4 linked regions of the Drosophila melanogaster genome follow. The protein of the gene in region 2 purifies or fractionates together with the protein of the main gene of each other region. This does not show direct contact. Each region holds a gene or a part of one and is shown on either strand. Other genes may lie near its edges. The genes, in order: CG8677, Iswi, Caf1-55 and Nurf-38.

Evidence for each region.
Region 1: the proteins of Iswi (region 2) and CG8677 purify together in Drosophila melanogaster (affinity purification with western blotting; one study listed by BioGRID). This does not show direct contact.
Region 3: the proteins of Iswi (region 2) and Caf1-55 purify together in Drosophila melanogaster (affinity purification with western blotting; 5 studies listed by BioGRID, with this or other methods). This does not show direct contact.
Region 4: the proteins of Iswi (region 2) and Nurf-38 fractionate together in Drosophila melanogaster (co-fractionation; 4 studies listed by BioGRID, with this or other methods). This does not show direct contact.

What each region holds. Positions count from the first base shown.
Region 1 is NT_033779.5:21,219,371-21,227,280, reverse strand, and holds the start of CG8677 (uncharacterized protein), read right to left. Parts: upstream 5,970-7,910; 5' UTR 5,730-5,969; coding exon 5,495-5,729; intron 4,846-5,494; coding exon 4,664-4,845; intron 4,604-4,663; coding exon 4,154-4,603; intron 4,090-4,153; coding exon 859-4,089; intron 652-858; coding exon 1-651. Other genes in the region: Atg18b (Autophagy-related 18b), read left to right, coding at 6,984-7,021.
Region 2 is NT_033778.4:12,633,396-12,642,696, forward strand, and holds Iswi (imitation SWI), read left to right. Parts: upstream 1-3,275; 5' UTR 3,276-3,386; exon of another isoform or gene 3,387-3,448; 5' UTR 3,449-3,547; coding exon 3,548-3,595; intron 3,596-3,658; coding exon 3,659-3,876; intron 3,877-3,943; coding exon 3,944-4,198; intron 4,199-4,259; coding exon 4,260-6,375; intron 6,376-6,434; coding exon 6,435-6,595; intron 6,596-6,656; coding exon 6,657-6,942; 3' UTR 6,943-7,233; downstream 7,234-9,301. Other genes in the region: CG33792 (uncharacterized protein), read left to right, coding at 1-59; spt4, read left to right, coding at 282-350, 412-574, 641-759; Mvk (mevalonate kinase), read right to left, coding at 859-2,031; CG33672 (uncharacterized protein), read right to left, coding at 2,429-2,689; CG8785 (uncharacterized protein), read right to left, coding at 7,628-8,588, 8,645-8,766.
Region 3 is NT_033777.3:15,224,018-15,231,033, reverse strand, and holds Caf1-55 (chromatin assembly factor 1, p55 subunit), read right to left. Parts: upstream 5,459-7,016; 5' UTR 5,142-5,458; coding exon 5,120-5,141; intron 5,069-5,119; coding exon 4,508-5,068; intron 4,398-4,507; coding exon 3,688-4,397; 3' UTR 3,470-3,687; downstream 1-3,469. Other genes in the region: CG34316 (uncharacterized protein), read right to left, coding at 1-137, 196-416; mRpS10 (mitochondrial ribosomal protein S10), read right to left, coding at 682-937, 1,007-1,272; Art3 (arginine methyltransferase 3), read left to right, coding at 1,769-1,790, 1,855-3,383; CG31344 (uncharacterized protein), read left to right, coding at 5,888-5,951, 6,100-6,292, 6,647-7,016. UniProt on the Drosophila melanogaster protein: Core histone-binding subunit that may target chromatin assembly factors, chromatin remodeling factors and histone deacetylases to their histone substrates in a manner that is regulated by nucleosomal DNA.
Region 4 is NT_033778.4:24,556,434-24,564,009, forward strand, and holds Nurf-38 (nucleosome remodeling factor - 38kD), read right to left. Parts: upstream 4,655-7,576; 5' UTR 4,628-4,654; coding exon 4,420-4,627; intron 3,978-4,419; coding exon 3,859-3,977; intron 3,793-3,858; coding exon 3,397-3,792; intron 3,342-3,396; coding exon 3,190-3,341; intron 3,132-3,189; coding exon 3,022-3,131; coding exon of another isoform or gene 2,990-3,021; exon of another isoform or gene 2,719-2,989; intron 2,700-2,718; coding exon 2,668-2,699; 3' UTR 2,534-2,667; downstream 1-2,533. Other genes in the region: CG11414 (uncharacterized protein), read left to right, coding at 5,427-5,705, 5,764-5,909, 5,973-6,536, 6,594-7,576. UniProt on the Drosophila melanogaster protein: Component of NURF (nucleosome remodeling factor), a complex which catalyzes ATP-dependent nucleosome sliding and facilitates transcription of chromatin.

The sequences.
Region 1 (7,910 bases), on a different chromosome or scaffold from region 2:
TTTTAAAGCAGAATTGATAAGGTCGTCATACTCGTTAAGCCGATAGCTCACGTTGATTTGCCGCCGCTTGCGCAACTTGTATATGGGTTCATCATCCGAGTCAGAAAAGCTAGTGCTATTGTCGCTACTTGAGTCAGATCCAGATCCGGATCTAGAGCCACTGCCTAAGGATTTGCGGTGGCTGGAGTCAGATTCGTTTCCACGACGGCGCCTGGTGCCTCGCTTGGCAGCTCTCCTATTAATGCGTCCATCTCCGCGACGCCGCTTTACCTTTTCAGCCTTGCCGACTGCCATATCATCCCTATCGTCTTCGTCCTCTTCCTTTTCGCTCTTGAAGTTTTCGTCCTTCGCCGCCAGCGTGGCCGCCTCTAGCTCCTGACGCTCTCGCTCGGCTTGCTCTTCAGCCAAGATCCGCTCCTGTTGCTTTTGAGCTACCAATGTGTCGTATTGCTCCAGCTGTCTCTCCAGGGCAGCTATGAGCTGCTCCTGCTGACAAGGAGGGCAGTGCCAATCGCCCTCAGGAATGTAGAAGAGCACTGGTGAAAGGCAGGAGCAGTGGTATCCTTTGTTACAGGTAGGCGTGTCGCAGAGCAAAATCCACTCCGGATGGTCAGACTTGCCGCATTTCTGACAAGCTTCCTCCGCATCCTCCTGTAAAATAAATCAGCATGAATGTTACTGCATAGTGATTTTAGTGACCACTTAAGATATAAAACACATTCTGGATTATAACGGGTACAATAACAATGCAAGGAATAACTCAAGAAATAGTTTCTTCTATTTTGAATAGACATTCAGAACGGGAAAGCTAACAAAATCAATTTTGTATGCTTTCTAATTAACATTTTTAATATTTACCTCCTCTAGGTCATCGGCGTTCTCCTTCCGTACGGTGCGCGCCCTTTTCATTGGCACCACTTGAGACTCATCTTCAAGCTCCGATTCTGGTGAAAATTCGTGATCGGACCGGAAGAGTGGCGAACCAGGATCCGTTTCATAGTGCGGTGGCTCCTCCTCCTCCTCCTCACTTTCTGGCTGTTCTTCTGAATCGGAAGACCAGCCATCCTTGCCAGGACACTTTTTTTTCTTCTTATTACGTGCCTCCTCCTCCGCCTCGCTGGCCTCGGATTCTGATTCTTCTCCTGATGGTTCTAGCACAGTAGGATCTGCTTCCTTCTCGGCTTTTTTCTTTTTCTTAAGCTCCTGTTTCATGGTACGTAGAGCAACCTCCTCTTGCTTTCGCCTTTCAGCTTCCTCTTTGATCTTCTGCTGGGCAATGCGCCTAGATTGGCGCACAGGTGTCTCCGAGTCGTTGGTCTCAATGATATTGGTAGTATCCACCTCACGCTTCTTTCTCGGCCCACGTCCACGACCCACCTTTGGCTTTGGCTCCTCGTTGGGCTCTTCCTTGATGGGTTTCTCCTCAGGTTTCTTTCTATTTTCTGGGCTTTCTGGGGCTGGATCGTCTTTAGCTTCAGATTTTATTTTGGTTGAAATTTTCTCATCATCTTCGGATTCCTGCTTCAGCTCAGCATTGACCTCTGGCTGCATTTTATCCCTGGCCCCACCTCGAGTCCTTTTTGGCTGAGGAAGCTCAGAGTGAATGACAGCAGGTCCACCTCTGCGACCAGAACGACGGGCAGATCCCTCCGGTACAGGCGATTGGTCTTTAGCTGAACGTAATGAATCCTTGACAGACATTGCAAGTGGGTCCTCGACTTCCTCCTGTATGTCCTGCTCGTTATTGCGCTTCAACTTCTCGCTTACGGCTGACGGAGGCACTTCAGTAGGGGAGGATTCCTTCGAAAACGCCTCATTTGCATCCTCACTGCTACGACGCTTGCGATGACGCTCGTCCGGTTGACAAAGTACATTAGATGCTGGAATTGCAGGCACGAGGGTCTCACTGTTTGTTCGTTTTCTTGGTATGGTCTCTTCTTCACTCTCCTCCTGTCGTAGTTGTGTCAGGAGATTTTTCTTTAGGGGCTTGGTTATCGGTGTTTTTTTTTGCGGACTTAAGGAGATGATGGGCGGTGTAGCTTCTCTAGTTTTCTGCATCAGTTGCGTTGGCATCTCCATTACTTTTTCAGTTGTCTTTTCCGGCAAATCCATCTCTATACTTTTCTTTAACTTTCTTTCAATAATTTCCTCCAGAGTGGGCTTGGTTTTAGTGTGAGGAGCTATACACTTGCGGCGAATACGCGCATCGTCTTCTCCGCTGGACGAAGTAGTTTCTTCTATCTGCGTTTTTTGAGCCTCCACCTTTCGCCTGGACTCCGCGTTAGTGGTCTTCGGTCTCATTTTAATGCGCTTGCCGCCCACATCTAGATCGTCCAGGGTAGGATCGTCATCTTGCGGTTCCTCTTCGTGCACTTCGCTTTCGGAGGTGGAGTTTCGTAGAGCGGACTGAGAGTCATTAAGACGCCGCTTGCGATTTAATAACGTAGATGTCTTAGATATTTCTTCAACAGCACCACTCGTCCTTGACTTACCGTCAACCTCTCCGGATTTTCCATTGTCTTCGAAAAGTAAGTTTTGGGATGTACTTGGTTCTATGGTTTGAACTTTTTCCGAAATCCTATGTTCTGCAGATGGCGAAATATTGATTTCAAGACATGTTGTATTCGTTTCGCTTTTTGAAATATCTTTAGGTGGATCATCTTGAAGCAAGGTTTTAATAACCCCTTCTGCCTTATCAATTTTATTTATAATAATACCTTTATCATTGGTTTTTCCTGCATAAGGGTCAATCAAACATTTCGATTTTGCTGTTTCATCTTCCCCATCCGTTGGAGAAGATTCAGATACTGATTCCTTAGCGCTCGTTGCCGTTTCCTGTTCTGATTTCATTTTGGAATCATGTTGGTTAGGTACAGGGCTTTCTGTTTCACACGAAAGTTTCTCATCACATGCAGTGTCCAAGGCATTTGTCGAAATTTGCTGATGATTTATTACCAGTTTATCCTCAACTGTACCGCTTTCCAGGACGCATTTTTCTGTTACTGGTTTCTTTGTATTGTTCAGATCAGCTGGAACTTTATGCTGATCCTGAGTCTGAATAGAGGAGTTATCACTTTCATTTGAATTATTTTGTAAGACTGAAACTTCTGTCCTATTCCTCACTCCTTCTTCAATTGCCTCACTTTCGGTACGACCTTTAGAGATTTCCTCATTCTTTTCGATCACGCTTATTGTACTATCCTGTATATTCCTTTTAGCCACTGGTACGGATTCCTTTTTTTTTATTTGATCATCTGAGATTTTATTTACGTTAGCTTCTTGGCATATGTTAGTCTCTTCTAATGTAGCTGCACTCGCAGATGCTGTTTCTTCACTATCTCCCAGAGTTTTTGTGAGTTCGCTTCCATTTCGGGGCGGTGTGTTCACTATACACTTTTCGCTTTCACCATTTGTTTTCTCCTCGCTCAAGCTGTCAAAAATGCCCCGTTTTGCCTCTGGTTTTGATGTTTGCTTCATGGGACTTAGCTTGAGACATCCGGGCTCGCCAAAAAAGAACGTCGCTTTTGGTTCCGATGTGCGCGTTGACGTTTCCTCCACGGAAGCTTCGTTTTTACCATTCCCCACGAGACAGTCGGTCCCCCACCCTTGACCAATCACATGGAGCATTGGATCTGCAATGGCTTCCCCGATCTCCAAGTCATCCTCATAATCAAAGTTGCCAATTAAATTATAAGGGATGGCTTCACAGTCAAGTCCTGATCCTTGGCCCTGCACCACTATCGTTGGATCCTCTATAGGCTCTCCAGTATCTTCCTCATCGTCATCTTCCTCGATATCCGCCGCCGCACTATCGACATCTTCCTCTTCCTCACCCTCATCCAATTCAGAATCCTCCTCGTCCTCTTCTTCCTCATCCTCTTCTCCGGACTCTTCTTCGATTTCATCCTTAGTGCTTTCGTAGCGACTTGGCTTTTTGATTCGCTTTGTATCAAGCAGTGTGGGACGGTGCTTCTTCTGCTGTTCCTCCTGGGAGGCTGTGGGGCTGCTGTCTACGTCTTCGATAGAACGTTTTTTGGTTGGGGCCGGCGATGCGCTACTCGAAAGTTTGGCCTGGCTAATGAGCAGTGGCTGAAAGACCGAGAATGAAATCTTATCTAAAAATGCAAAGCTCCTTGGTTAAATCCATACACACCTTAACCTTTTTAGACTTTTGATCCTCTTGCTCGGGAGAGCGGAGTTTAATCTTTAGATTGGGTACAGTTTTTTCGGGCTCATCTCCAACTTCCTCATCGTCCTCTTCTTCTTTCTGTTCGGGGGGCGGTGGTTTGGGATGACAACTGTTGCTGCTGCTGGTGTCCTCATCGGCCTCACCAATGTCCTTCGAAGGAAGTACCACCTCATTTCCGCGCAGCCTTGAAATGAGATTTACAAACTCGTCCCTGTTCGTGGCAACCACCTGCCAAATTTCCTCGTCTAGATGCTCCTGGTAGATCCGCAGATTACAGTGGGCATCCTGAGTCAGCCAGTAGGCATGTCCCAACCGGTCCCTTCCAATTGGCTCAGAGCGTAAAGTATCGGCATTCAAGGTGAGGATGTGGGCCCGAAACTTGGCATTGCGTTCAAACTGACTTTCGAGAAGTTCCTGTACGGGAAAGACGCCCTTTAGAACGGTTTATCAAGTGGTACGAAATTCGTTACTCACCCGAAATATTCGCAGCTTAACCTTCAAGCTGGAATTCCTATAACCGAAACGTTCGATTTCCCAGGCATCTTGCACCGAGTAGCCGAAGCAGAATTTGCTGAGGGCGGACTCCCAACTCTTTTCGTGAACCGTCTTACGGGTCTTACGGAGCAGCTTTATGTGCAAGTCCCTTAGCTCAGGAACTACAAAGATTCGTTATAATTAAATATTAGTAAAAGTTCTGCGAAAAGGAAGAAAGTGACAGCGGAATATAAATGGATTGTGGGTGGATTATGAGGGCAAGTGAAATAAATGCAACCGCGTTTGTTGTAGTGTACACTTTTTGTGTCTGCTGTTGCTCACGCAAATACATACAAAACGTAGAAACTTAGCATGATTATAACTTTTTTAAACAAATATATTTTCAGGTTCCCTCCCACTCGTGACCCTAAATATTTAATATATTTCCAGATGCAGGTGTACATTAAAAAAAAAAAACCAACTTTTAGTGTTCAATTGTAGCTCTCTTACTATCTCTCAAATAAGAAGACCAGAGCAAATGTGGGAAATATTTACGTCTCTCCCAGATTTGTTTTGTATATTGCGCTTGTGTTGAGATGAAAACAAATCGCAGTGCTCTCTCTGCCATTGAGCAATCTCTTTCTCTCTGACGAGCCAAGCACGCTCTCCAGAGCGGAGCATTGTTAAATCTCTGGAGCAGACCTATTCGAAAACACTACATCCGTAGTTTCCACCGCCACTTGCCCCACGATAATTGAACCTGACATAAATTAATTTGGCAAAAAACTGCTTCCACCCCGCTCTCTTGATACCACCACCCCACCCTCTCACCATCGTTGTTGTTTGTCAACCACTCCTGCAGATGCTTGAAGTTGGGCAGGTTAAGACCCAGGTCCTTGCCGAATTTTTGCAGGAAGGCGCAAATGACCGCAAAGTCCGGATCATTGGCGCATGTGTGCAGCGTGGAGGTGAGGGCGTCGTCGTCCTTGCACTCCTCCGATATGGAGTCCGTCGGAAGCGGGATCGGATTGGTGGGCGCCGCAGCCGCAGCTGAGGACGCCGCCATTTTTCATGCGTCCCCGAGAACCAGCGAAAATTTTCGGGTGTTGTATACTACTCTGGCAAAACCTCAAAACGGGCACTGCAAACACGAGTCATTTGTCCAAGGATCAAGTTCTCTGGTCGCACGGCACTGCGAGACTTCGAGGGTGCATATTTCTTGCCGCGAGACAGCTCTTGTACGGGATAAAATCCTATTTTAAAGCAAGCGAAAATGCTTTATTTTCTGTTGTGAGTTTCAGTGTGGCCGCGCAGTCACTTTTCGACAATACTGCAGATTGCACCCATGTAATTGAAGCGAGTTGGCAGTCGATGCACTGGGGAACTAGTTTCTAGTATACTTGGCGTATGCATGAAAACGATTTTTACAAACTACGAATACATTTATAACTTACTCAGATTCGCGTTAAGACAGTTTTATTTTTAAGTTAGCGCTAGACTATGAAATGTGTATTAAATGTTACAAATCTAAAAATTGTTTTACTATTAAATAGGCTATGCAAAATTTATTAAATCGACGAACAATATAGGTTATAATATAAATTAGGAACAAAAGGTATAAAGTTTTAGTGTAGATCAAGTTGAAGTAGGGAAATACATTATGGGAAATACAATTTTGCTAAGACAGAAGAACCTTATAAGAAGCTTAACACGTCCACTGTTTTGTTCCGATTTGATAGAAAATTTGACACAACACTTAGATAATTGTAGATACTTATTGGAAAAAACTATTTTAATGTTTATATAAAAAGAAATGAAACTGACATATACACACTAAATGCACTGTAATTGTGTGAAATATGAGGTAATTTTATGATTTTTCCAATGCAAATATATGCGGATACATGTATATATATTGTCCATTTCAATTTTTAATAACAATTTTACATTTTCCGTTACACAAATGATTTAACGGTATATATGGCATTTGGTGAACACGGCTGGTTCAGTTCCCGAACCCAGTTCCAATGATGATGATTTATGTGTGTGTGTGTTGTGTGTAGGGGGAATTTGTTGATAGATAGAACGAGAAAAACAGTCGCAGCAAAACAACAAAGACGACGCAAAACAGTCGAATTTAGTTTTCAATATCAAGTGAAATCATTTCGCTTTGCTCATCTGCCATCGTCGATCAATATCTTGTGTACTCAAACGACGGGACTCTGCAACTGAATATCGCTGAAAAAAAGCATCTAAAGACCAGTGAAAGTGTAACTATATAAAAAAAATACAATCACCAAAGCACAAATCTTCAGCAGCAATGACCACATATCAAATGAACTTCAACCAGGACTTTACGTAAGTAGCGACATCTGTGCTTAAATCCTTAAATCCCGGAAGGTCACCAAAGCGAAAAGTGGCAAACAATTGAGACACAAAAATCGACAAATGAGACGGGTAAATAAGGCGAAAACAGCTGCTGTGGGGAAGGTGGACGGGGATCGTTAGTGTGTCTGTGGGTAAGCGTGAATTGGCGTCATTTTTCGTGTCGTGTGTGTGTGTAGTTTATTAGAACATGCAAACAAGCAGTTCCAATTACAATAGCATGCATTCATCTAACATTTTGGAATGCCTTTCCCGTTTCGGGAGGGGGCTGGGAACCGAACTCGGTACACTGTCAGTGGCCAACAAGCGACCGATTTAGCAGTATTTCCATTCTGATGGCCACTGTGCGGGACACCAACACTCGCACAATTGGCGCACAATCAATTGTTTATGCGCAACAGCTGATGACTAAGGAACAAATGAAAGTGCGGAGCGATAAGGATGAAATAAAATGACAAGAAACAAAGGGGGTCAATCTGGCGGGAGCGCACTGTAGCTATCAACGCAGCCTTAATCTCGAGCTTAATTAACCAGTTTCGCTATTGCACGGTACGTTGATGTCATCCAAGAACAGGGTGAGGGAAGAAGTGCGAGCAAGCCTTAGAAAGAAACGCAAACATCAATATGACTATTTGTGGTGAAAATCGAATCGAAAAGAATATAATCTGAAAAATTTGTCATAGCTCAAACAAAGCAAAAGAGAGATTTCCAATCAGTAACAAATCAAGCACGGGTGAATGTACGCGAAAACGCAAGTCAAACAATTGGCTATTATCTTTTGGGGGTTTTCCTACGATACTCTGTAGTTTTAAAAAAAAAAACTCAAGTCTCAAGTCTATCAGCAATGTACAAATTTAAAATG
Region 2 (9,301 bases):
AGGATTATTACAAGCAAAAAAAGAATAAGCCACTGCCCAAGCCGTTGAACTTTGTTTAAAATTCATATAGCTGCTAAGGAAATATACACTTTTAAAACACGTTTTAATACAAAGGTTAGCTTCGTGAAAATTCTTTTGACAATTTTTGTCGGGTGTAACCGGCGCCCATCGATATCGTAGATTCAAGAAAATTTTAGAGTACGGTCACTCTGTCAGTGTCGTGGCTTGGTTTTGCACGGATTTTGTATTTTTAGTTTTAAACCCATAATTGATAAGTAAATATGGCCTTTGACGCGATACCCAAGGATCTGCGAGGACTTCGCGCCTGCCTCGTTTGCTCCCTAGTGAAGGTGGGTTATATTTTGCCCAGACTCGACACACATTTTCATTGAAATCATTTATCGCCCGCAGAGTTTTGATCAATTTGAGACTGATGGCTGTGAAAACTGCGAGGAGTTCCTGCGAATGAAAAACAACAAGGACAATGTCTATGATCACACTAGCAACAACTTTGACGGAATTATTGCCCTAACTACGCCCACCGACTCCTGGGTGGCCAAGTGGCAAAGATTGTGTAAGGCCTGAATGACTTCCGTTCCAAAAGGGTATTACTGATATATTTGAAATCATTTTCCTTTAGCCCGCTTTACTCGTGGTATCTATGCCATTTCTGTATCCGGAACACTGCCGCAGTCTACCTTACGTGACATGAAGAATCGTGGAATTGTCTACAAATCTCGGGACAGAAGTCAACGATAAACAAACAGATTGCCGTACAAAATACATGTATAAATCTTTATTCTTTAATTTATAACAAAACCACGAATACATACAATAGCAATACAAAACGAAACCGCATCAGTCATCCAGCGAACTAACGCGCAATCCCTCGCCGCCGGCAGTCGTAACATGAACACCAAAACCCGCCGATTCGAGCTCCTCTTTAAGCTTCCAGTAGACCTCGTTGCACTCGTAGTTCTCTGGAAGCAGAACGATGACATAGCCACCTGCGCCGGCGCCCGTCAGCTTTGAAAAGAAGCCACGCTTAAAAGCGATGGTGAAGATTTGCTCCAGTTTCGGGTGCGACACTCCGATAGCCTTCAACAGATCATTGTTGATCTGGAACAGGCGTTCAAGTTGCTCGAATTTCGAGCTATCGTCTTGGGCGTTGCCAAAGCTTTCGTAGAGTGGAACGGCGGCGGCAACAAGCTCCTCGCAAGCCTGCCAAATGGCCTCGATGAGCTGCGGAAAGGCATCTCCCAGATGACGAACCTTGGCCACAATGTCGGCGGTGCTGCGACTCACACGACTGTCCACCAGCAGGATGTTTAGTGGTTTCTGGATCTTCAGCGACTGGAAGCCCTGGCCCTTGACATACCGCAACATTCCGCCGTAGGTGCATACAGTGTTGTCCAGACCCGAGGGCGTGCCATGATTAACACGCTCCGATTCATAAGCCCAGGACGAGATCAACGCCTGGTTTGCCTCCGACAAGTAGCTGTCTCTATCAAAGTGTCCGGCCAAAATGAGAAATGTCGTGGCCAAAGCTGCTCCGAAAGAGGCGGAACTGCCCAAACCCGCACCCACGGTTAGCTGGCTGTCTACCTGCACCTGGAAACCGGTTTGCAGCGTCAGTTTCTTGTCGCCGGGTGCGGAGAGTACAGCGCCGGCCAGCAAATAGTATATGGAGATGAATGCCCGCTGGGTGTGCTGCTTCGGTGCATTGCCTCCGGATCGTTCAAGTTGTTTGGACACCTCTGCGCGGACGGCTTCCAACAGATTGGCCGTGCTATCTGATGGGTATTTACTCCTAAATTCAGCCAAAAATCCATTGAACTCCGGCAACTGGATCTCCAGTGTGCAGTTAAGGGCCTCCAGTTGAAAACTTGCCACCTGGCTGTCCTCCAGCTGCCGAAATCTCAGAGTAGTGCCCAAACCCACTACGGCGGCGAGGGCGGGACGATGATAGACCACGGCGTGTTCGCCATGGAGTATGACCTTGCCCGGAGAATGGACCTGGAACTTGAGCATTGTTCTTGATGATCTCCGTGTATTGTGTGTTCTGTATTCCGTTTGGCTATGGCTTTATCGGTTTATCAGCTGTTTCGAATTGTAATGCTAATGCCTTTCGAGTGGACGACCTGCGACAAGTAGTTAAACTTTTATGGCTGTATTTCTTTATGTAACTTATGCATTTAGTGGATCATTTGCGTTGTTTATTCGGTAACTCCTATTTCTGGCTGCCGATTCCTGTGCTTTCCCTTTCACTTTCTTTGTGCGACTGGCGTTTTTCGGCTTGTTCGTCTCTTCGATCGGAAAGCGCAACCATCAGCAAAACGAACAACAGGTTTTTGCGGCTAGTGTTTGCTGTTGTTGTATCGCTCGTGTATATGTATGTGTGTTGTTGGTTTTTTTTTATTCGGTACTACTATTGGGCTTTCACTTTCTCCCACTCTTCGGGTGTGTAGGATTTCTGGGAGAATGCATGGATTTCTTTCAGTTCTTCGGCAAGCGTTGAGTTAACTAATCTATGCTTCTGGAGAAGGGTCTTGCCGCTGAAGGCTGGCGATACGATTACGGCGCTGAACTTGCCGCCACAGCCGTCTGATTCGTCCGTAACACTCACGTACTCCGTCTGCAGTTCCCGTTTGAGCTTCTCCTCGAGGTACTTTGAGTCGTATTTACTCATTTTGGATGGTTTTTTTTTCAAACGAAACGAGGTGATGGAGTGGTTGTGTGACCGTATTGGGCTTCAGGCAAAAACAGGTTTTCCATAAGCCGGGTGGTAGTTTTTCTATCTGCGCTGACCTTGGCCACACCTAGCACCATTTTAAATGTTCTTTTTCGGGGGGTTTCTTGCGATATATCTATTAAATACTTTAATATGGGGGTTGTCTAAGTAATTTAACAGATTTTGTCTTTGTTCATATAGTTTGGGGCAGCCATTCAAGTCTAAAACGATGTAGTACATATTGTCATATTTAGATTCAGTTTCCACCACAGGGCTTATTTCTAAAATATTATGAGACCCCATTAGACTTTTCGATTCCTGCTATATTCCATCATCTCAAACTTAAACATTAGGCAATAATTTTTAAACAAACGCAAACAATTTAAAAAGATAACCTATTTGATTAATCAGAATAACGGCTTTGTCTAAAACTAATAATAACGGCACACGGCCAGTGCTGCCATTCATAGTAATCCATCAAAACTATCGATAGTTCGTATTCTCGATTTGTTTGCCGCCACCGTCGCTGCCGCAGCCAACTTCGCGCATTCATCGCATAATCTAGCGATAGCACGCGCAGATTTCCCACCATTCATTAAAAAAAATCGCATGTAATTATTTACAATTTGTTTAAGCGAAACAAACATTGTTTTGTGTAAATTGCCTTTTATTTATATACTGAAAGTATAACTAACAGGTTGCACACTCGATTTTCAGTTCACATTAAACGACACCAGTGTGCAGCACGCTTGATTGGCGAGGGGAAATTTGTGGAAAAATTAAGTTCATTTAGAGACAGACGCCGGCATTGCAAATATGTCCAAAACAGATACAGCTGCCGTGGAGGCAACCGAAGAGAACTCGGTAAGTTAATATACAGCAGGCTTTGTCTAAGGACTTCTATACATATATTCTGAACTCTGCCAGAACGAGACGACTTCAGATGCGGCCACCAGTTCATCCGGTGAAAAGGAGGCTGAGTTCGACAACAAAATCGAGGCTGATCGCAGTAGGCGCTTTGATTTCCTGCTAAAGCAGACGGAGATATTCACCCACTTCATGACTAACAGCGCTAAGAGTCCCACGAAGCCTAAGGGTAGACCCAAGAAGATCAAAGACAAGGACAAGGAAAAGGATGTGGCCGAGTGAGTTAAACTCCCCCTATAAAAAAGCCAACTACTTTATCTATTGGTGTACTTTTGTATTAAACAGTCATCGTCATCGCAAGACAGAGCAGGAGGAGGATGAGGAGTTGCTGGCGGAAGACTCGGCCACCAAGGAGATCTTTCGCTTCGATGCCTCACCCGCCTACATCAAAAGTGGAGAGATGCGTGACTACCAGATTCGCGGTCTTAACTGGATGATTTCGCTTTACGAAAATGGTATCAATGGAATTCTGGCCGATGAAATGGGTCTAGGAAAGACCCTGCAGACCATATCTCTGCTGGGTTACCTCAAGCATTTCAAGTGAGTTTTCATAAACATCTATTGTTTTAAAGAAATCTCTAAATACCATATTTGCGTGCAGAAATCAAGCTGGACCACACATCGTCATCGTGCCAAAGTCAACGCTTCAGAATTGGGTAAATGAGTTTAAAAAGTGGTGTCCTTCCCTCAGAGCCGTCTGCCTTATTGGTGACCAGGACACCCGTAACACCTTCATTAGAGATGTGCTCATGCCTGGCGAGTGGGACGTTTGCGTGACCTCCTATGAGATGTGTATCCGCGAGAAGTCTGTATTCAAGAAGTTCAACTGGCGCTATTTGGTCATCGACGAGGCGCATCGTATCAAGAACGAGAAGTCGAAGCTGTCGGAGATTCTGCGAGAGTTTAAGACCGCTAATCGTCTACTTATCACGGGTACTCCGCTGCAGAATAACCTCCACGAGCTGTGGGCCCTGCTTAATTTCCTGCTGCCCGATGTGTTTAATTCGTCAGAGGATTTTGACGAATGGTTCAACACGAACACCTGCCTGGGTGACGATGCATTGATTACGCGTTTGCATGCCGTGCTGAAACCTTTCCTGCTCCGTCGTCTAAAGGCCGAAGTGGAGAAGCGTCTGAAGCCGAAGAAGGAGATGAAAATATTTGTGGGTCTATCCAAGATGCAACGCGACTGGTACACCAAGGTGCTGCTTAAGGACATTGATGTAGTGAACGGTGCTGGCAAAGTGGAGAAGATGCGACTGCAGAACATCCTTATGCAGCTCCGCAAGTGCACCAACCACCCATATTTGTTTGATGGCGCCGAGCCCGGTCCGCCATACACCACGGACACGCATTTGGTGTATAACTCCGGAAAGATGGCTATTCTGGACAAGCTGCTGCCCAAGCTCCAAGAGCAGGGATCGCGTGTGTTGATTTTCTCACAAATGACGAGGATGTTGGATATCCTCGAGGACTACTGTCACTGGCGCAACTACAACTATTGCCGCCTGGATGGTCAGACGCCGCACGAAGATCGTAACAGGCAGATTCAGGAATTTAACATGGACAACAGCGCCAAGTTTCTCTTCATGTTGTCCACCCGAGCCGGTGGTTTGGGTATCAATTTGGCTACCGCTGATGTTGTCATCATTTACGACTCGGATTGGAATCCTCAAATGGATTTGCAAGCTATGGATCGTGCTCATCGTATTGGTCAAAAGAAGCAAGTGCGCGTTTTCCGGCTGATCACCGAAAGTACAGTGGAGGAGAAGATCGTGGAGAGAGCAGAGGTCAAGCTCCGTCTGGACAAGATGGTCATCCAGGGGGGCAGATTGGTTGACAACCGCTCCAATCAGTTGAACAAGGATGAAATGCTTAATATAATCCGTTTTGGAGCTAACCAAGTGTTCAGCTCTAAGGAGACAGACATTACCGATGAGGACATCGATGTTATTTTGGAGCGCGGTGAGGCCAAGACGGCCGAGCAAAAGGCAGCACTGGACAGTCTGGGCGAGAGTTCGCTGCGGACGTTCACAATGGACACAAACGGCGAGGCAGGAACTTCTTCCGTATATCAATTCGAGGGTGAGGATTGGCGCGAGAAGCAAAAGCTAAATGCGCTGGGCAACTGGATCGAGCCACCGAAGCGTGAACGCAAAGCCAACTATGCTGTGGATGCCTATTTCCGCGAGGCTCTCCGTGTCTCCGAACCCAAGGCACCGAAGGCTCCCCGCCCACCCAAGCAGCCTATCGTTCAGGACTTTCAGTTCTTCCCACCCCGTCTGTTTGAGCTGCTCGACCAGGAAATCTACTATTTCCGCAAGACTGTTGGTTACAAGGTGCCCAAGAACACGGAACTAGGATCGGATGCCACCAAAGTGCAGCGCGAGGAGCAGCGCAAGATCGATGAGGCAGAGCCGCTTACCGAGGAAGAGATCCAGGAGAAGGAGAATCTACTCTCACAGGGTTTCACTGCCTGGACCAAGCGCGATTTCAACCAGTTCATCAAGGCTAACGAAAAGTACGGTCGGGATGATATTGACAACATTGCCAAGGACGTGGAGGGCAAGACTCCGGAGGAGGTTATCGAGTACAACGCCGTGTTTTGGGAGCGATGCACTGAGTTGCAGGATATTGAGCGAATAATGGGACAGATTGAGCGTGGAGAGGGCAAGATTCAACGGCGATTGTCTATTAAGAAGGCTTTGGATCAAAAGGTAGTTAGCATTGTTTCTGTAGAGTATCTTTAATATATATGAATATATTTTTGTTGTAGATGTCGCGGTATCGCGCCCCCTTCCATCAGTTGCGGCTGCAATATGGTAATAACAAGGGCAAGAATTACACTGAAATAGAGGATCGCTTTCTGGTATGCATGCTTCACAAGTTGGGCTTTGACAAGGAGAATGTCTACGAAGAGCTGCGAGCGGCTATAAGGTGAGCAAAAACTTGGTTTTAAATATGAGTAAACCCCTTATACATTTCCGTTCTCTTACAGAGCTTCTCCGCAATTCCGCTTTGACTGGTTCATCAAATCTAGAACCGCTTTGGAGCTACAGCGTCGCTGCAACACGTTGATTACCCTTATTGAACGTGAAAACATTGAGCTGGAAGAGAAAGAACGCGCCGAGAAAAAGAAAAAGGCACCAAAGGGCAGCGTGTCCGCTGGAAGTGGAAGTGCCAGCTCGAACACTCCAGCACCCGCGCCCCAACCGAAGGCCAGTCAAAAGCGGAAGAGCGAGGTGGTGGCAACCAGTTCCAACTCGAAAAAGAAGAAGAAGTAAAGCGACAAAGCAAACAGATATTTTTCTGAGATTCGGCTCTACACTCAGCACTAGGCAGTTAAATAGTTAAGACAAGCGATTACTTAAACATATTTTACTCTATATAGTTAATAGTTCATATCTCACGCCGGAAGCAATATCACACCAACCCCACCCCCAAAATCTGAAGTTTTTTTAAACACCCGCCTACACATCCGACTACATTACTATTGCGTGCCGCTGTATTCTATTCCAAATAATTGTATTGTGTTCTAAGACTATAATCATTATATTTATATAAATCAACACAGCATACAGATTGTTTCACTTTATATTCAGAGGTGGATTCCCCGTAAGTAAAAGGCGACATATTGAATGTTTTGGTACTGTTCGCTTTATGTTTTGGAATGCTGAGCAACTTAACGTAATAACATATATAAATTCTATGAATTGCTGCTTAGTTTGTGTAACAGGGCACTTAAACTTAATATCATCTTGTTCATGCAGTCAACGGCATCGGCAATTTGGCATCCGAGCCGCTTGACCATGTTCAACATGGCCATAAGTTGGGTCTGATGTGAATGTGGGCTTCGCCTGCTTTTTGAACTCATACTTGTCTTTCATCGCGCTTCCATTGTTGGAGCTACCTGCATCTAGTGTAATACTACGTCTCTGTTTGAAGGTTGAACCCATACATATCGAATCCTTAGTCGTCGTCGCTATACATTTCGATGATCTCGTTGATGCTGGCGACGGCACCAGCAACCAGGGCAAGAATGGAGAACACGCCCAGGAAGATGTTCTTGACCAGCTTCCACTTGCACACGCCCAGGCGGTCGGGCCACAGATAGACGGTCTCCACGAAACTGGGCACAAAGATGCCCAGCAGCGAGAAGAACACGGCACCCACCAGACTGATGAAGGGTTCCAGGTTGGGGATAGCAGCAGCTACACCACCGCTAAGCAGGATAATGCCGCTGCGCAGCAGAATCTGTGTAATATTGTGCTTCTCGGGACTGAACTTGTGACTGATCTTGCGCCAGAGGATCTCGTTGGGCACATAGAACTGCAGGCCAAAGGTGAACAGGATGGCCACGGCCATCAGGAGCTTGGCCGTATCGCCCAGCCAGGCGCCTTCCGGCAGATTCAGCGTGATGCTGCCTCGCACCTGGTCGCCAAATCGCACATATCCAAAGAATCCGATGATGGCATAGAGCGAGACCACAGTGACCATAGCAATGTTAAGCACGCCGGGGCATCCCAAGAAATGCTGGGGCTTCCTCATCGAGTTTTCCACGGGCATCACAACACCGATGCCCTCCATCGCAAAGATCACGGTGGCGAAAAAGAGTGGAATATGGGCAGCCTTGGCGATCAGTGGCTTGTCGGAGTAAACCAGCGGCTCGTCGAACATGTAATACAGCGTGATCGCGAATGTGACCACAATGAAGATGTTGGCCATCATGGAGAATGGCACCAGCCACTTCAGGTCACGGATCTGACCGATAAGCAGACAGGGGATCACGGTTAGGGCAATGTAAATACGCACATCCCAGTTGATCTTCAAATCATAGTTAATGACATCGTGGAAGGATGTCGCAATAAATACGATATATACACATGCCGCAGCATAGTAGGTGGCCATCAGTCCGATATCCACAAATTGCCTGGAGATTTTTAAATAGATTAGCATTAGGGATCATCTCCTGTAAGCTTTACTCACTTGGCGAAATTCGAGTAGGGTCGCATTCCCTTGGGTCCGTACTCGAAGACCTTCTCAGCTGTCTCAGCAAATCCCAGAGCCGAAACCTTGGCATCCCTGCAAATGTCATGCGAAGTTTTAACCTGCAAGAATGAATAAAAAATGTTGGAACGTCGTTAGTTAATAGGATTCATTAAAGCATTGAAAAAGGTGATTTATAATATAGACAGCAATTTATTGAACTCTAAGCTTCTACTCCATTAATCAAATAGAAATTTATTGCAGTTTAAACAAATAGGCTAAGGTTATCACTAAGTTTTAAGTCTAAATAAATAATACTACTTCAAAATTAAGATATAGTATTAATCTTAGAGACTTGACTTCCACTTTAGAGATAATCTAAAGCTTATGAGGATGCAGTTTATTATTCCCTAAGCGGAAAGCGATTATAAAGTATTACGTCATCATATGTTAATTGTAAATCAAATGAAGTTGAAGTGAGGAAGTAGCCGGCTTATCAAATTAAGAACATTTTTAACTAGGAATATATATCAAAAAATAGTAAATCTAAATGATCGCAGCTAAGCACTTGAGAAGTTCCAAAATGACTGTCAAAATCCAAATGCCATAAATCTGCTAACTCGAGTGGCTAAATTATAGAGTACGCTAGCATTTTTT
Region 3 (7,016 bases), on a different chromosome or scaffold from region 2:
ATAAGGATTTGAAGTACGTGAGTGGCAAGGTAACGTTAATGGTGTTCTTCAAACCGGGCACCGGGGATAAGCTGAGCGCAGGCACATCAAAATCGGACAATCCGTGCAACTGAAAGTTGTCAATGGACCCAGTGAAGCTAGAAAACAAATGAATTTGTAACGCCTCTAAGCGCACATATTACAGCATTTGCTTACTCCACGAGGTATTTGTTGTTCAGTTCTGTTTCAGCAGGCCCCAACTGCAGTGGGTCCAATGCGGGCAGGCCTAGATTCGGGATTGGGTGGCACATGCGCATACGGAACTCCTGAAGGAACGCCAAGATTTTCGCCTCGTAAACGCAGGCAGCGGGCGACAGGCATGCGTAGAGAATGGCTGTGGCCAGCAGGACCTGTGAAGTGAGTTTTGCCCGCTGCATTCTGCTGATTGATTCGCTTCCGTTCGGTTTGGAGTAGCTACTGGTATGCCAGCGTTCGCCCGCCCTGATTTTGTTTGCTTACTTTTCAAGTGGATCCCATCGTGTGTGTCAAGATACGACTTTTATTTCAATATTCTGCCAAAAACTTATCTTTGCTAATCGCGGACGGGGCCCGAGTACGGCCGATTACCGTGCGGATTGCTGGTGCAATCTAAGCTCATACTGAACTTTTAATAACTAAGGTCTACTGTAGTATTGGCTTCGGCTAAACTTGCTCCGGCGGCTGGCGCAAGTGCTCTGGGATCTCCTGCAGCTCAGTCCTGGAAGCCTGCAGCGCTACGCCCTCGGGCAGATTACGTTCAATATACTCTAGAAATGTATCTAGCGTGGAGCCCGTCAACTTGTGGAAGTTCATATAGCGGAAGTGGGTTCGCACCTCGTACTGTACGCGATGTTTCTTGTAGATATGCACCGACTTCAGGAGCGTCATCCGCTCGTGGTGCGCCTTGCGAGGTGACCAACTGCATGAGGATTAACGAACACATATGTATGTTAGAGATTTCCTTTACCGGAGGATTTTTACCTCTTACCATTTTCCCTTTTCAATGCCCAAATGCTCGGCAGCAGTAGTAGCAAACCAGGTGTAGCTCTTCAGAACTGCCGGATCAATACCCCGCAGCTCAATCTCCAGCTTGCTGTAGAGTTTATCCGGTTCCGGAGCAGGTGCCGCAGGTGAAAGATTGCCTTGTACGCCGGAACTGGTGTTTACCGTGGACAGAGCCCGCATTGGCTGTGTCCAGCGGAGCGTCTTTATAGCCTGGGAATATAAATCTAGATGTTTCATATGCATTTTCATTGATATATGGGATCTAAATACCTGTAACATATTAAAAACTGTATTTACACCTAGAATTATGCAAGTGCGGCAGCCGCAATACTGCTTATAACGCCTTTTCGAAAATACTGAAAAATACTACATACGTAGTGTAAATGTTTCTGTGAGTCTATAGTTACTTACCTACCCTGTAATAAAAATGAAATGTAAATTTTTTTCTTTAAGCCTACTTCTTCCAAGCAGAAAATTAATTTGTTAAAATATCAGCGTAAACATAATTTCACTTTTACAATGTCGTCGAAAGTTATTCTATAACATATATCCCCTGCGATACCCTCTAAAGCAACATTTCAAGTATACCAAAACGCGTTAAGCTATTTTCGTTTCCAAATTTCCGCACGTGTTCGCGCCGCTCAAAACCCCATTTAGTTGGCATTTATAAATTTGTGATCTTCGTCGTGCGATTTGAATTCTTTTCTCTGAAAGCAGGCCAATAGGACTTGCAAACAAAGATAGCATGAAAGACACCGAGGTCAACGGTTCGAGCCCGTAAAAGCTTTTATTTCCTGGAGATGATTACTTATTAATCCCATCCCAATGTAGACAACACCACAGAGGAGGAGCCCGTGAAGGAGGCACCTGAGGTGCCGGCCAATTCCAGCTCCGACGAAGATGAGTACGATGACATAGATGACGATGATGAGCCAATGGACGAAGGCGATGAGCTAACCACTTGTCTGTTTTGCACCGAAACATCTGCAAACATCTCGGTGGCCATTGACCATCTTGACGCCCGGCATAAAGTGAATCTGTCCCAGCTTCAGCGTAAATTCGAAATGGACCAGTATTCCTTTATCAAACTGATAAACTACATAAGAGCCAAAAAGATCAGTGCCGAGCAGTTATTGTCTGCGGAACATCCGCTTTGGCAGGATGAGAAGTACCTCCAGCCCGGGGAGTATGAGCCCTGGCTCTGCTATGACTACGAAGTCCTTAAAACAGACGGCGCTCCGACGCAGCCCTCGGTTCTGGAGCTACAACAGCGGATTGCTGAGCAGTCGCAATTGCTGCAGCAGGCCAACGAGGACATGGAACGCATGCGCAACGACTACAAGGCGCTGCTGCAAAAGGTACATGCTGACGGCGAGCCCAAAGGTTCCGACCAGAGCGTACCGCGTAACAACGTTTGTCTCGACAACGAATACTTCAAAAGCTACGCCCACTTTGGCATTCACCATGAAATGCTCAGCGACAAGGTGCGGACCAGCACCTATCGCGCGTCTTTGCTCCAAAACGAGGCCGTTGTTCGGGGCAAGACAGTGTTGGATGTGGGATGCGGCACGGGAATCCTATCCATCTTCGCCTCCAAAGCGGGTGCAGCTCGCGTTGTCGGCATAGATAACTCGGACATTGTGTACACCGCCATGGATATCATCAGGAAGAACAAGGTTGAGAATGTTGAACTGATCAAGGGACGGCTGGAGGACACAGATCTCCCAGAGACTAAATACGACATTATAATATCCGAATGGATGGGCTATTTTCTTTTGTACGAATCAATGCTGGACAGCATTATCTACGCCCGCGAGAATCACCTCAACCCCAATGGCATAATACTGCCCAGTCGCTGTACACTCAGTCTCTTGGGCTATGGAGACGACACGCTTTATGCCGATGAAGTGGAATTCTGGTCTAACGTTTACGAGGTCGACATGAGCGATCTGCGAAAGCAATCAATAGAGGAGCCACTCATGCAGGTGGTGGATGCAGAGTTCATGCTGACGGAACCCGAACAGATAGCTAACTTCGACATAATGACCGTCGATATGAACTATCCAAACTTTACTCACCAGTTTAGCTTAAAGGTCACGAAGCCGGGACGATTATCCGCCTTTGTCGGTTACTTTGAAACATTGTTTGAACTACCCTCCCCCGTCATGTTCAGCACATCACCATCTGCGACGCCCACCCATTGGAAGCAAACGGTTTTCTTCATCGAGAACCCGCAGGTTGTGAAGGAAGGAGACGTCATTTGTGGGAAAATCACGTCAAGAAGACATAAAGAGGATGTCAGAGGACTTAGTGTGGACATAGAAGTCTTTGGCAAGAAACACAAATACAATGTGGTTTAATGTGCTTCTTTTTGAATAGAATTAAATAAAATACGCTTGAAGATCTAAGTTGGTATTTAATTTCAAAAAAATTAACCTCATTTCTTGACTTTTTAATCATTTTTAATTAAAAATTCATAGATTGTACAATCTGCTGACAAATGAGAGCTTAATTAAATTTTGTTTTTAAAAATATGTAAATATATATAAATTAAAATGAGTACCCATTGCCATTTAGGCTGGATAGCTGGACACGGGGCACGGCCAAAACATTATCGGATTCAGTTGTAGTTTGGTGTGTATTATAGGAGGCGGAACAGATGCTTTAAGCGGTATTGGTTTCTAACTCGGAGGCGGGAATCTCTGGCTCCTCGTCGTTGTAAACATTCTCGGCCATCTGCCAGACCTGCATAATATTGTCCTCGGACACGGAGCAAATGATCCATGGCTCATTGGGGTTCCACGAGAAATCGCTAATCTTGGCAGTGTGACCGCCATGGATGAAGAGCAGCTCGGGTGGTCCGTCCTCAGCATCCTCCGTACTCTGCTCCTCGCCGATTTTGGACAAATCCCAGACGTGTAGGCGGCGGTCAGTGCCGGAGGAGGCGAGAATAGTCTCGTTATGCGGCGACCACTGCACTTGGAAGATCTCGTCCTTGTGCGACTCGAAGGAATGTAGTTTTAGCTTGAGGTTGCGCAGATCCCATAGAGCTACAGTCTTGTCAGCGGAGCCCGTGGCCAGAATGAACTCCGAGTAGGGATTAAAGCTCAAGCAATTGACTTCCGCTGTGTGAGCGTCCACTGTATGCGAGGGCTTCGAGGTGTTGTTGTTGCGCGTGTCCCAGATCATCAGCTTCTGGTCGTCAGCCACCGATCCGAACAGAGACTCATGTAGCAGATGCCAAGCCACGTCCTCAACAACGGCGGTGTGGCCGGTGAAGATGTTCTTGGCATCAATAACCCTATGCTCCTTGGGTGTGGCATTGATGTCCCACAAGCAGATGGTGTGATCATCAGAGGCTGACAGCAAATAGCCTGTAAGGACAATCAAGATGTTCATTAAGGGTTAAAACGTAATGCATTTTAGATGTGTCAAGCTCTTATCTGAGCTAATATATAAGTACTAGGTACAGCTACGCACTTACCATTGAGGTTGGGATTCCAAGAGAGTCCGTAGCCTTCCTTTTGATGACCGCGCAGCCGCAGGTCAGGCTGGCACTCGCCAGACGGTTCCGGCTTGCTGGGATGCTTCGTGTAGTCGAAGACCAGGACATCACTCGACGGCGTCTTGGTGGCGATTACACAGGCGTTCTGGGGCATGTAGCGGGCCCTGTTCACTTCGCCCTCGTGGTTGATCTTAATCTCGATTTCGATTTTGCCGCACACCGATCCAAAGCCTCCAAACTCGCCCTTCTCGTTATCGTAGTGCGAACCATCGAACTGGGCATCCTCGCTGGGCAACTGAACGCTGGCGATGAGTAGATGGTTCTGCTCGTCAGATGTGTGTGTGCCCAGTATAAGACGATGTACCGAGTAGTCCTTGCCATCCTGCTTGGTCACGTCCGGCAGCCACTGGGCAGTCAACGAGGGCCATTCCAGGGCATGCGTCATGACCAGATCGTACAGGAACGGCGTGTTCTTTTTCCAAATCTTATACTCCTCATTGATCACGCGCTCCTCGACGGCGTCGTCGAAGGATTCCGCTGCTAAAGGTCGATGGTTACACATTGCGGCGATTAACTTCTAACCGGACTTACCATTATCGCTGCGATCCACCATTTCGAGGCTTTTAGGCACGCAATTTCTCAGTCTGCGTCAAAAGTCGGCAGCCGAAAAAATCGGGCGCCAAAACAAAAGCCGAAGCGGCAAAACGTGTGCAGAAAAACTACGAAAGTTCGCTACGTAGTTAAAGCTCTCGCAACGAACACTTGACCGAAAGTCGTTGTGGCAGGGATTGAGTCGAATCCTGGCCGGGAACTTACACTTTAAACGGCGTAACGTCAGGGCAAAATAGAAATTGGCTAATTTCCTTCGTTTTTTTGCAAGCGCGTCGTCGATGATAGAGATGCAATGCTAAAGATTGTCGAGACGACTGCCATATTCGATTACGATAACGATAACAGAGTTATGGAGATGACACTGCGCGGTATTTTTATACTTGTTACGTTCCTGCGTCATGATTTTAGTATTTTGTGGTTTACATCGATATATTTGGGGTTTTAAAAGGTATATTTTAACGGTTGCAGTTGCGGGCACACTAAAGTGCATAAACAAAGTTTACTACTTAATTCGTTATCAGTGCGAATGATTCGAAACCAGTTTACGCGCCAATGACCGGCTTTCCATTCTTATTTGACGAGCCTAACGTGCCAGTTGCAGTTAAGTTCCCCAACCGCAACGACGGTGGGCAGCCGTGATTCATCCTCAACGCTTTTTTTCCAATTGTGTATGCAAAATGTTTTTGCACGTAACGAGCTGAACTATTGAGTTTGCTAAATAGTTTAACAAGCAATAATTTGGCCGACATGCAGGTTGATGGTTGTACCAGCAGCTCATCCGAGATCCCCCATCCCGCGAAGCGTGAAACGTGTAAGTGCACAGTGGACTTGTTGGCGGGTTGAATGAAAAACTTTCTCTCTTGGCGCGCCGACGATTTTGTTTGTCTTTTCTTTCTTTCACTTGTGTAATCCGAATTTGGACCTCAAGCTCGTTTTCTACATCGCACGTCACTTTCCAGGGATCAGTGGGAAAATGCAGTCGTCATCGCATTCCAAAGATGGTCATAATGCAGCGGGGGCTTCAAAACTGCTTCAGGATCACCAGGAGCCCGAGGACTACTTGGAGCACCTAATGAAGGAGGGCAGTCAGGAGGGCGACAGCGGTGCTGATTTGGAGCTACCTTCGTGGTACGATGAGCAGCTATTCAGGCGGTAAGTTGCGTGACTAATTGTTCACTGATTGCATATTAGCCCAGTAACCACAGTAGAAATAATTGTGATAATTACAATATCCATATACACATGGGTTATTTATAAGCTTGGAGTTATGTAGCAGTTTGCTATGTGAATAATAATGCGAAAAGGCAGCATATAATACTTATCTTTATCTGTGCTCATTATTCCAATTTTGTACCTACGGGCTTACATATTAATAACAAAAGGCGACATACATTTACTTTTAACAATATATATGTATATGTACATGTATGTATATGTATATTTTAATTTAAATAATATAACTGCATTCGAATTACTTAATTGATTCTTTATTCCTTTTCCTTGCAGTGGTCAGAGCTACTTTAGCACGTATCGCTTTGTAATGAACGCCGGAATGCTGGCTGGTCTTATTGCCGTGCTGGCTATTCCATCCATTCTCCGGGTGCTGTCGTGCACACGCCAATCCTCGACAGCGTTCACCGCCTACCGTCGCTATGTGCGTACTATATTCCACACGCAAGCCTGGTATAACCACAACATCGCGGACCGTGGCAGCAGGTTCTGGACCAGCATTGCGGCCGTGAGGCGGGCCCACAGCCGCTCCAGTCATGCGTGCGCCCGCCAAGGAGCTGGACAGATCACCCAGAAGGATTTGGCGCTCACGCAGTTCGGTTTCATTGGCTTCATAACGATGGGCGCACATCGCATAAAGCTGAAA
Region 4 (7,576 bases), about 12 Mb from region 2:
CCCCGCCCCACACACCCACAGCCCCAACACACCATACACCATACAGCACACAACAAACAACACACACCACACACAGCTGAGAATCGGTGCGAATATCGTGGGTTGGAACGAGCATCCGCATCCAGATATAGATCCAGATCCAGATCGAGAAACAGTCCCACTACGACCACACATGCAGAGCCAGAACACAGAAATCTAAAATATTAAAACGCCCAAATTTAATTCGTACTTATTTATTACTGTATGCCTTACAGTTTTTACTATATGTGTTTTTTTAAAAACGAATTATTTTTATTAATTTATTGAGAACGTTATGCGTTTGTTGTAAGTAACATAATTGGGGAGTGGGAGATGGGCGATGATGATGATCAGATGATGATGATGATGATGTGCAGGAGGAGGATCGCAGATCTCGCACTCCCCACATATACATAGAAGCCGAAGTATTTATTTTTAAGTATTCTTAGCTTGTTTTATTATTATTGCGTTATGCGGTTTGTATATAAAATAAACAAAACGAAATCCATTGTTTTTAATCTATGTAATGTAAAATGATAACTTTTATTTTTGTATCTGTATTCTACTGTAAAATCAGCATTTAGAGTTTACATTTTACACGATTTTCCGCAAGGGCAAAACTACAATGATAAAGATAAACCCATACGAACACACACATACACACATACACACATACACACACACTCACACACACACATATATACACCGCAATCGAGACCGAAAGTATTTTGCAAATGTATTACACTTACAATTTTGTGCTATTTTGTAAAGATGAAACCCTGAATTAGTGTAAATCTGTTGGCGCAAAACGGAGATATGTATTTACCTATATAGTATATAGTATATGCATACCTATCTAAAGCTAAAGCCTTACATATATCCGAATACGAGTACCCTACACACATGCTAAATATTAGAGAGAAACGCAAGATCGCAATTTGTGCAAGACACAAACAAAAACCTGGTAAAAACACGCGAAGAACGGAACGACTGCATTACAAATGTGGCAATAAATAATACATAATTAATAAAACCCTGTAAATTAATAAAGGATAATCAATCATTCGCTGGCTATTTGAGAGCATCAAAATTGTGATAAATGAGAATTAGAATGCGAATGCGCGACGCAGGACACCGCCAGAGAAAGAGACCGCCATACAGAAGGCGACAGAGACAGACAGACTGCAGCTGGCGATTTGCGCGCGTTTCTGGCGCGACTAAAAACGCCTGCTTACCGTTTTTGTTTTGGTACGTTATAATTTTCTTTTGTTTTTAATTAATTATTTGATTTTTGACCTTGTGCATTCTTGGCTTTTAACTAGCACTCAAGCTAAAAATTTGACCAACTATGCTTTACTTTTTGTTAAATTCCTCAATAATCCTCGAACTGTTGAGCTCGTATTTTTTGAGCAAACAAACAGAACAAGATTTTGAGAACAATAATTTTTGTGATATATTCAACCATACCTGAATATGGCTTTTGAACTTTGGCTCTTTTTTCTTCTGAGCAAGCTATACACCAAATTAAAAAAAATCAGGTTTCCTAATTCCTCCTCCTCCTTTTGTTTTTGAACACAGGCAAGAATGCTTCGGATCGCCCTTCTTCAACGCCTGCATAGAGGCTCTTCAGCTGCACGAGGAGATGGACAAGTATAACGAATGGCGCGATACCCTGGGTCGCAAGTAAAGTGCGATTCTCTGGGATTTTCTGGCACCGTCACTGGCACGAGCAGCTACTTAATTCTATGAACTATTAACTAAAACTATTATTATTGATAACTGTGGCAGAACACGGCACGAAACTATGGCAACCAGGAAACGATCGACCCGAGGAATGTGTACCACTTGAAGAAACAACTAAGCTAACATCTAGCTACAAGAGAAAGCAGAGCAAAAATGTTGAAAAAAAAATTATGAAGACAATTACTAAACTATTACACGCTACTTATCCGCACTTATATCGGAAAGTCTAAATTGGTCTATATGTTATTTCTATCATCTGTCATGAAACAGTCTCGTGGAGCTTTTAGTTGTAGTGAATTACGTAAATTATGCTTATTTCTTTTAGTTCTTCGCGCAGAAGGAAAGCAAAAAGTTATGCCAAGAATCAAATATGAGAAGAAACAAACAAAAAAAAAACAAGCAAACAAAAAAACGAACGAACAAACGAACAAGAATCAAAATGTCTGATGTATATAACTATTTTTGTCTTCTTTTAAAGATTTCTATACATATTTATAACGCCTAACTGATTTGTACATTTCTTTTATTTCGTAAGCTTAAGTTAATTTGTTACGGCAATAAATTTTACGTTCCACACCTTCCCACACATGCTCTCCTGCAATAGAACGGAAATCACATCTGAGCAACACCACACGGCATAATTCGATTCGATTCTATGTAGTATTGCAATGCCTTACAATTACATAACTTTTAATTAATTTAAACTTGTTTGGATCTAGTCGTAAAATATAAATAAAGATTGTATATTTCAAGAGGAATCGACAGCGAATTTGATTGCGGTGCAAAACTTTATTCAACGTACGATAATATTTCAGTATTAATAATTCACAAGTGCAAGCATTTTCGATTCGATTGGACTACAGATAGATCATGGATCTTGTGATGGAATCAGCCCAGGAGAACATCTCACTTGAGATGAATGAAATGCCAAGTGTCGACTGCAATTACAAAGGACGTAAATTGGTATAAAAAGGGTTTATTTCAGGATAACATTCAGTATAAAGTATATGTACAACGATTAACGAACGCAAGCAAGCCAATTACATAAATTGGGTTTCAGCAGTATTTACAGCATGGAGTAATCTCAATTTAGCTTGCTAACTGGACAATTAAAGTAGCTATTAGTAAGCGTGCAGGTTGTGTTTGTGTAACCAATTTGTTTGCAAGTTACTGGTGGTTAAAGCGTGTGTTGGAGTAGTGTGTTTTTGGTTGGGATCGGGTGAAGCAGCTATAAGTTCGATCTAATATAGTGAACCTTACCTGTATCAGACACCTCCTCGACCTGGCCGCCATCGGGGGCCTCGGCCAGTATCTTCTCGGCCTCCTCCTTGGGAATGACGTGCTCCGAGTTGCGGTTGGTGATGTTGGTGCTGCGAAACGGACGTACTTAGGATTAATTGTAAATGTATAAAATGGCATTTAACCCACGTGGAGATGGACCCGGATGCGGGGCTCTGGTGCACCAAGTTCTGCCAGAACTTGTGGGTCTCGGCAATGATGGTGTTGGCAAAGTCCGCATTCTTGGCATCGCCGTTGAAAGCAAACTGATTCTCAGGCTTGCCATCGGGGATCTTGTAGATCTGCGAAATGCAAAGGGTAAGAGAGGGAATCGTCCGAAAATCGAATTCCACCCACCTTGAACCACTCAACGGTGGCACGAAGCAGACCCGGGAAGTACTGGTCCACATCGGCGATATCATTGACTTTCGAGGCCAACGGATCGTTCACATCGATGGCGATTATCTTCCAGTCGGTTTCGCCCTCGTCAATCAAGGCAATGGTGCCCAGCACCTTGACCTTCAGCACGTCGCCGCGCTTAGCCACTCGGTAGCCAATCTCGATGACATCGATGGGATCGTTGTCACCCTTGCAGCCGGTGGAGGGCTCGATGTGGTCGGGGTTTTCCCAGGTCTGGGGCAGGGCTCCGTAGTTCCAGATGTAGCCCTTGTGCGGGAAGCAGTTGGCCACGAACCGCAGCTTACCCTTCTTGATGTCCTGCTTGATGGGATTCATAGGGGTCTTCAAGCTAATCTAAGGGTCAGACATGCAATTTTTGTATTATTCAGAAGTATGAATCTTAGGGACAGGCAGACCGACCTCCATTTTCGCGTTGGTCCAACGTGGCACCTCCACCACCATGTTGTAGATAGTTTTCTCCTCGTTGGCGTACAGTGGAATGTCGTGCATCGGCGAGATGACATTGCCGCACTTGTTTTCTGTGGAGAATGGCCAGAAATTATTATGCCTGATATATGGGCGACACCTGGACACGCGATTTGATTAATAGTGACCGGGGACCTGTCGGCTAGACAAAGGTCACTAATTTGCGTGCCAGTAAACCGAAATTCAGCCACCAGTTTCGATATCTGCTATTCGGAATATGGGCTAATAAAGGAAAGAGATAAGCCCAAAGGGGCCGAAACTCTTGGTGTTTCCGCCATTTCCGACGCAAGACAAATCGGATCGGCTGATAGTGCTGATAATGCGTCGAGTTAAATAAGCAGAGTCCGGTTTGACCTGTTGCATAACCATTCCGGTACCGATCAACTAATTCTAGGTGCATTAACTGCACCGAGTTTGGGTAACTTGCAAATGCGCAAGCAAAGGGTTAAGCCGGGTCACATTCACATTTGGCCCCCAATGCGCTACTCTACTCACTGAAATACAGGCTGTAGCTCGGCGAATTCTTAGCGCCCTTCTCAACGGTTTCGTACAGAGCCATCTCGTGTGATTTCGTGCGCTTCCGTTCTATCTGAATATATCTGCAATTGCTGGCAAGGGCCGCTGGTGACGTTGGAATCGAGCCGGACAAGCGACCAACCGCACGTGAAGCGTAAAATGAACTCCTTGTAATTTTCGCCAACATTTTCTTCAGCCCTGAGTTGAGTCTATCGATAGGGCGATAGGACCCGATTTTACAGTTAACAGTGCTGCTCAGAAAATGTATAGCTCGATTCCATTTCATCCATTCCAATGGAGAATGAACTTCATTTTTTCATACAATTAGAACTATTATTATAAATATTATTATATGAAAACTATAACATTATAATTATTATTATTAAATATAAAATACAATATTGTAATTATAATTATTATACAAATCTATTTACAGTATAAATAAGACAACTATCAAAACCTTAAAGATTATTTAGTTTTTGTCAAATCGTAAAAACTTAAACAAAATATGCTTTGAATATGTTCATACCTGCAGAAGAAGCACTTAGAAATATTTTAAAAGTTTCATATAAGTGATTGAATTTTTTATAAATTCGAAGTCAATAGGTTTTACTTGTACTGGTTACTGATCGTTGCGAAATTGTCCGAATTCTGGTCATGTTAACTTAACATTAACAAAGCTTCCAACTGGGAACTATCGGTGCTATCGGGGATCCGAGCAGTGTCATCGATAACATTGGCAATCGAGTTTTCTAAATTCTGAGTTTTCTTTTCGTCTGTCGTGTGTGCGTGTTGCCTTGCTTTCGAGTTGGCGTTGCAAAAATTCCCCTTTATTTTGCTGACGAGATATTCCAAAAGAGTAAACAAACCGGGGGATCCAAGAAACCCCAGCTTTTATCCGAAAGCAGTCGTTACACGTACATTTTCAAGTGCCCGTGGCAACAAGTAAATTCCCCCCCTCCATTCACTGCAAAATCTCTAGTGAAATGCAGAACGGAAAACCGAGATCTTCGGCCAGGCCGTCGTTCCACCGCCGTCCCAAAGACGGAGTGGCCAACACCACCACTGATAACGCTGCTGTCAAGCCGGAGGCCTTGGAGAGCTATACGGGCAACGACGACAACGCCTGCGTGGTGTGCTTCAAAAACGTGGAAATTTTCTCCATCGGCGACTGTGATCATCCCGTGTGCTACGAGTGCTCCACTCGGATGAGGGTTCTCTGCCAGCAGAACGAGTGCCCCATCTGCCGCCACGTCCTGTCCAAGGTAAGTCCTGCGCTTGTCTAGAGAACCGAATCTCTATCTAATTCTAAAACACTTGCAGGTTTTGTTCACACTGGACAAGCTGCCCTATCGCGAACTGGAGGCAAATAACCGCTCTGATTTATACAGCAAGAAGTACCGCATCGGCTTCTGCACCGCAGAGATAAGACAGCAATTCTTCAAATTGCTCGACCATCCCTGCCCGAAGTGAGTATTCTGCCCGCACTTGAGTTGCACCATTGAGGCTCACCCTTCTACGCTAAATTGCAGATGCGATGCACCTCCATACCGCACGTTCGAGGGCCTTCGCAACCATGTTCGCAGCGAGCATAAACTTCTGTACTGTGACCTATGCGTCGAGACCCTCAATATCTTCACCTTCGAACGGAGGTGCTACACTCAGGCGGAGCTGCAGCTACACAACACCAAGGGCGATCCGGACAATCGGTCGCATCGCGGTCATCCGTTGTGCGAATACTGCAATAAACGCTATGTGGACCGTGATGAGTTGTTCCGTCATTTGCGCCGCGAGCACTACTTCTGCCACTTTTGCGACGCCGATGGTTGCAATGAGTTCTACAATGACTATGCGGATCTGGCGGAACATTTCCGGGCGGAGCACTTTCTCTGCGAGGAGGGTAAGTGCGCCACCGAGCAGTTTGTCGGCGCATTCCGCAACGAAATCGAGTACAAGGCGCACGTGGCCAACGTGCACGGCAAGTCGCTCAACAAGCAGCAGGCCAAGCAGACGCGCACCTTGCAGGTGGAGATCACTTTGGGGCCTCGTGGCCGTAGTGGGCAGACGGAGCAGGGCATAACCAGCGTGAGAACCAGGTGAGTGAGCGGCCATCCAATTTGAAGAAGGCACTCTTAGAATGGTAAACCTTACAGGAATGACGAGCACAACGACTACCAGAACGATTTGCCTTCGATCACCCAGCGCCATGTGAGCATTGATGCTGGCAACGAGGAACAGTTTCCCACATTGAGAGGCGCTTCCACAGCTCCCAGCGTATCCTTGGTGAGACCGCCACCGCCCTCGATGCGCAATCTTAGTGGAACTTCTGGTCTTGCTCGGACCAAAGAAAACTTCCCGGCTCTGGGAGGAGGAAATGGAGGTGGTGTTACTGGGCCCACTAGCAGCAGCATTGCCGCCCGGGCTGCTCAATCGCAGCACCCCGTGGCAGCTGTCTTTAAGAAACCCACAAGCGCGGCAGGTTCTGGCAGTCGAAGTGGGCCTCCCGGTAACGGAATGCTCCTGCATGTGTCAAATCGATCAGCAGCCGTGCCCAAAAAGGCAGCCACGCCGCAGGTAGACTTTCCTGCATTACCGGGTAAGGGGAACAAGAAGAATCTGCGCAACCTGGAGGAGGATATGCTGCCTAGCGGATCGCCAGTGCCGATGGCGAACATCTCCGCTAAGCATCGGTCTCTAGCCGATGACTACGTGTCAGTGGCTAGCCCGAGCACCTTTCAAAAGCTTCAAATGGTACAAAAGGAGGAGGACGAGGCCAAAGCGCGCCAGGAGGCTTTGAAGAAGAGTGCTCCCAAACTCACTGCGGCGGAATTCCCTAGCCTCGGACCGAGTGCCAGCGCCAGCTCAAGCAGGACGACTGCTCCAAAGCCCAGCAGTGGATCTCCTTCATTGAACTGGTCGAAACCAGCTAATGAGAAGAAGCAGCGTGAGCTGGAGAATCGCAAGGCCAAAGTGGCGCCGGCCCCGGTTCTGCCGAGTCCAACATCGAAACCTGCTCCCAAGGCAAGCAACAACAATGTTCAAGAGCAGCAGGCAAATAAAAAGGATAAAAAGCAGAAGGATAAAAAGAGCAACCAGGAGAATCAGCCTAAGACGGCCAAACCGAAGGAGAGAAATA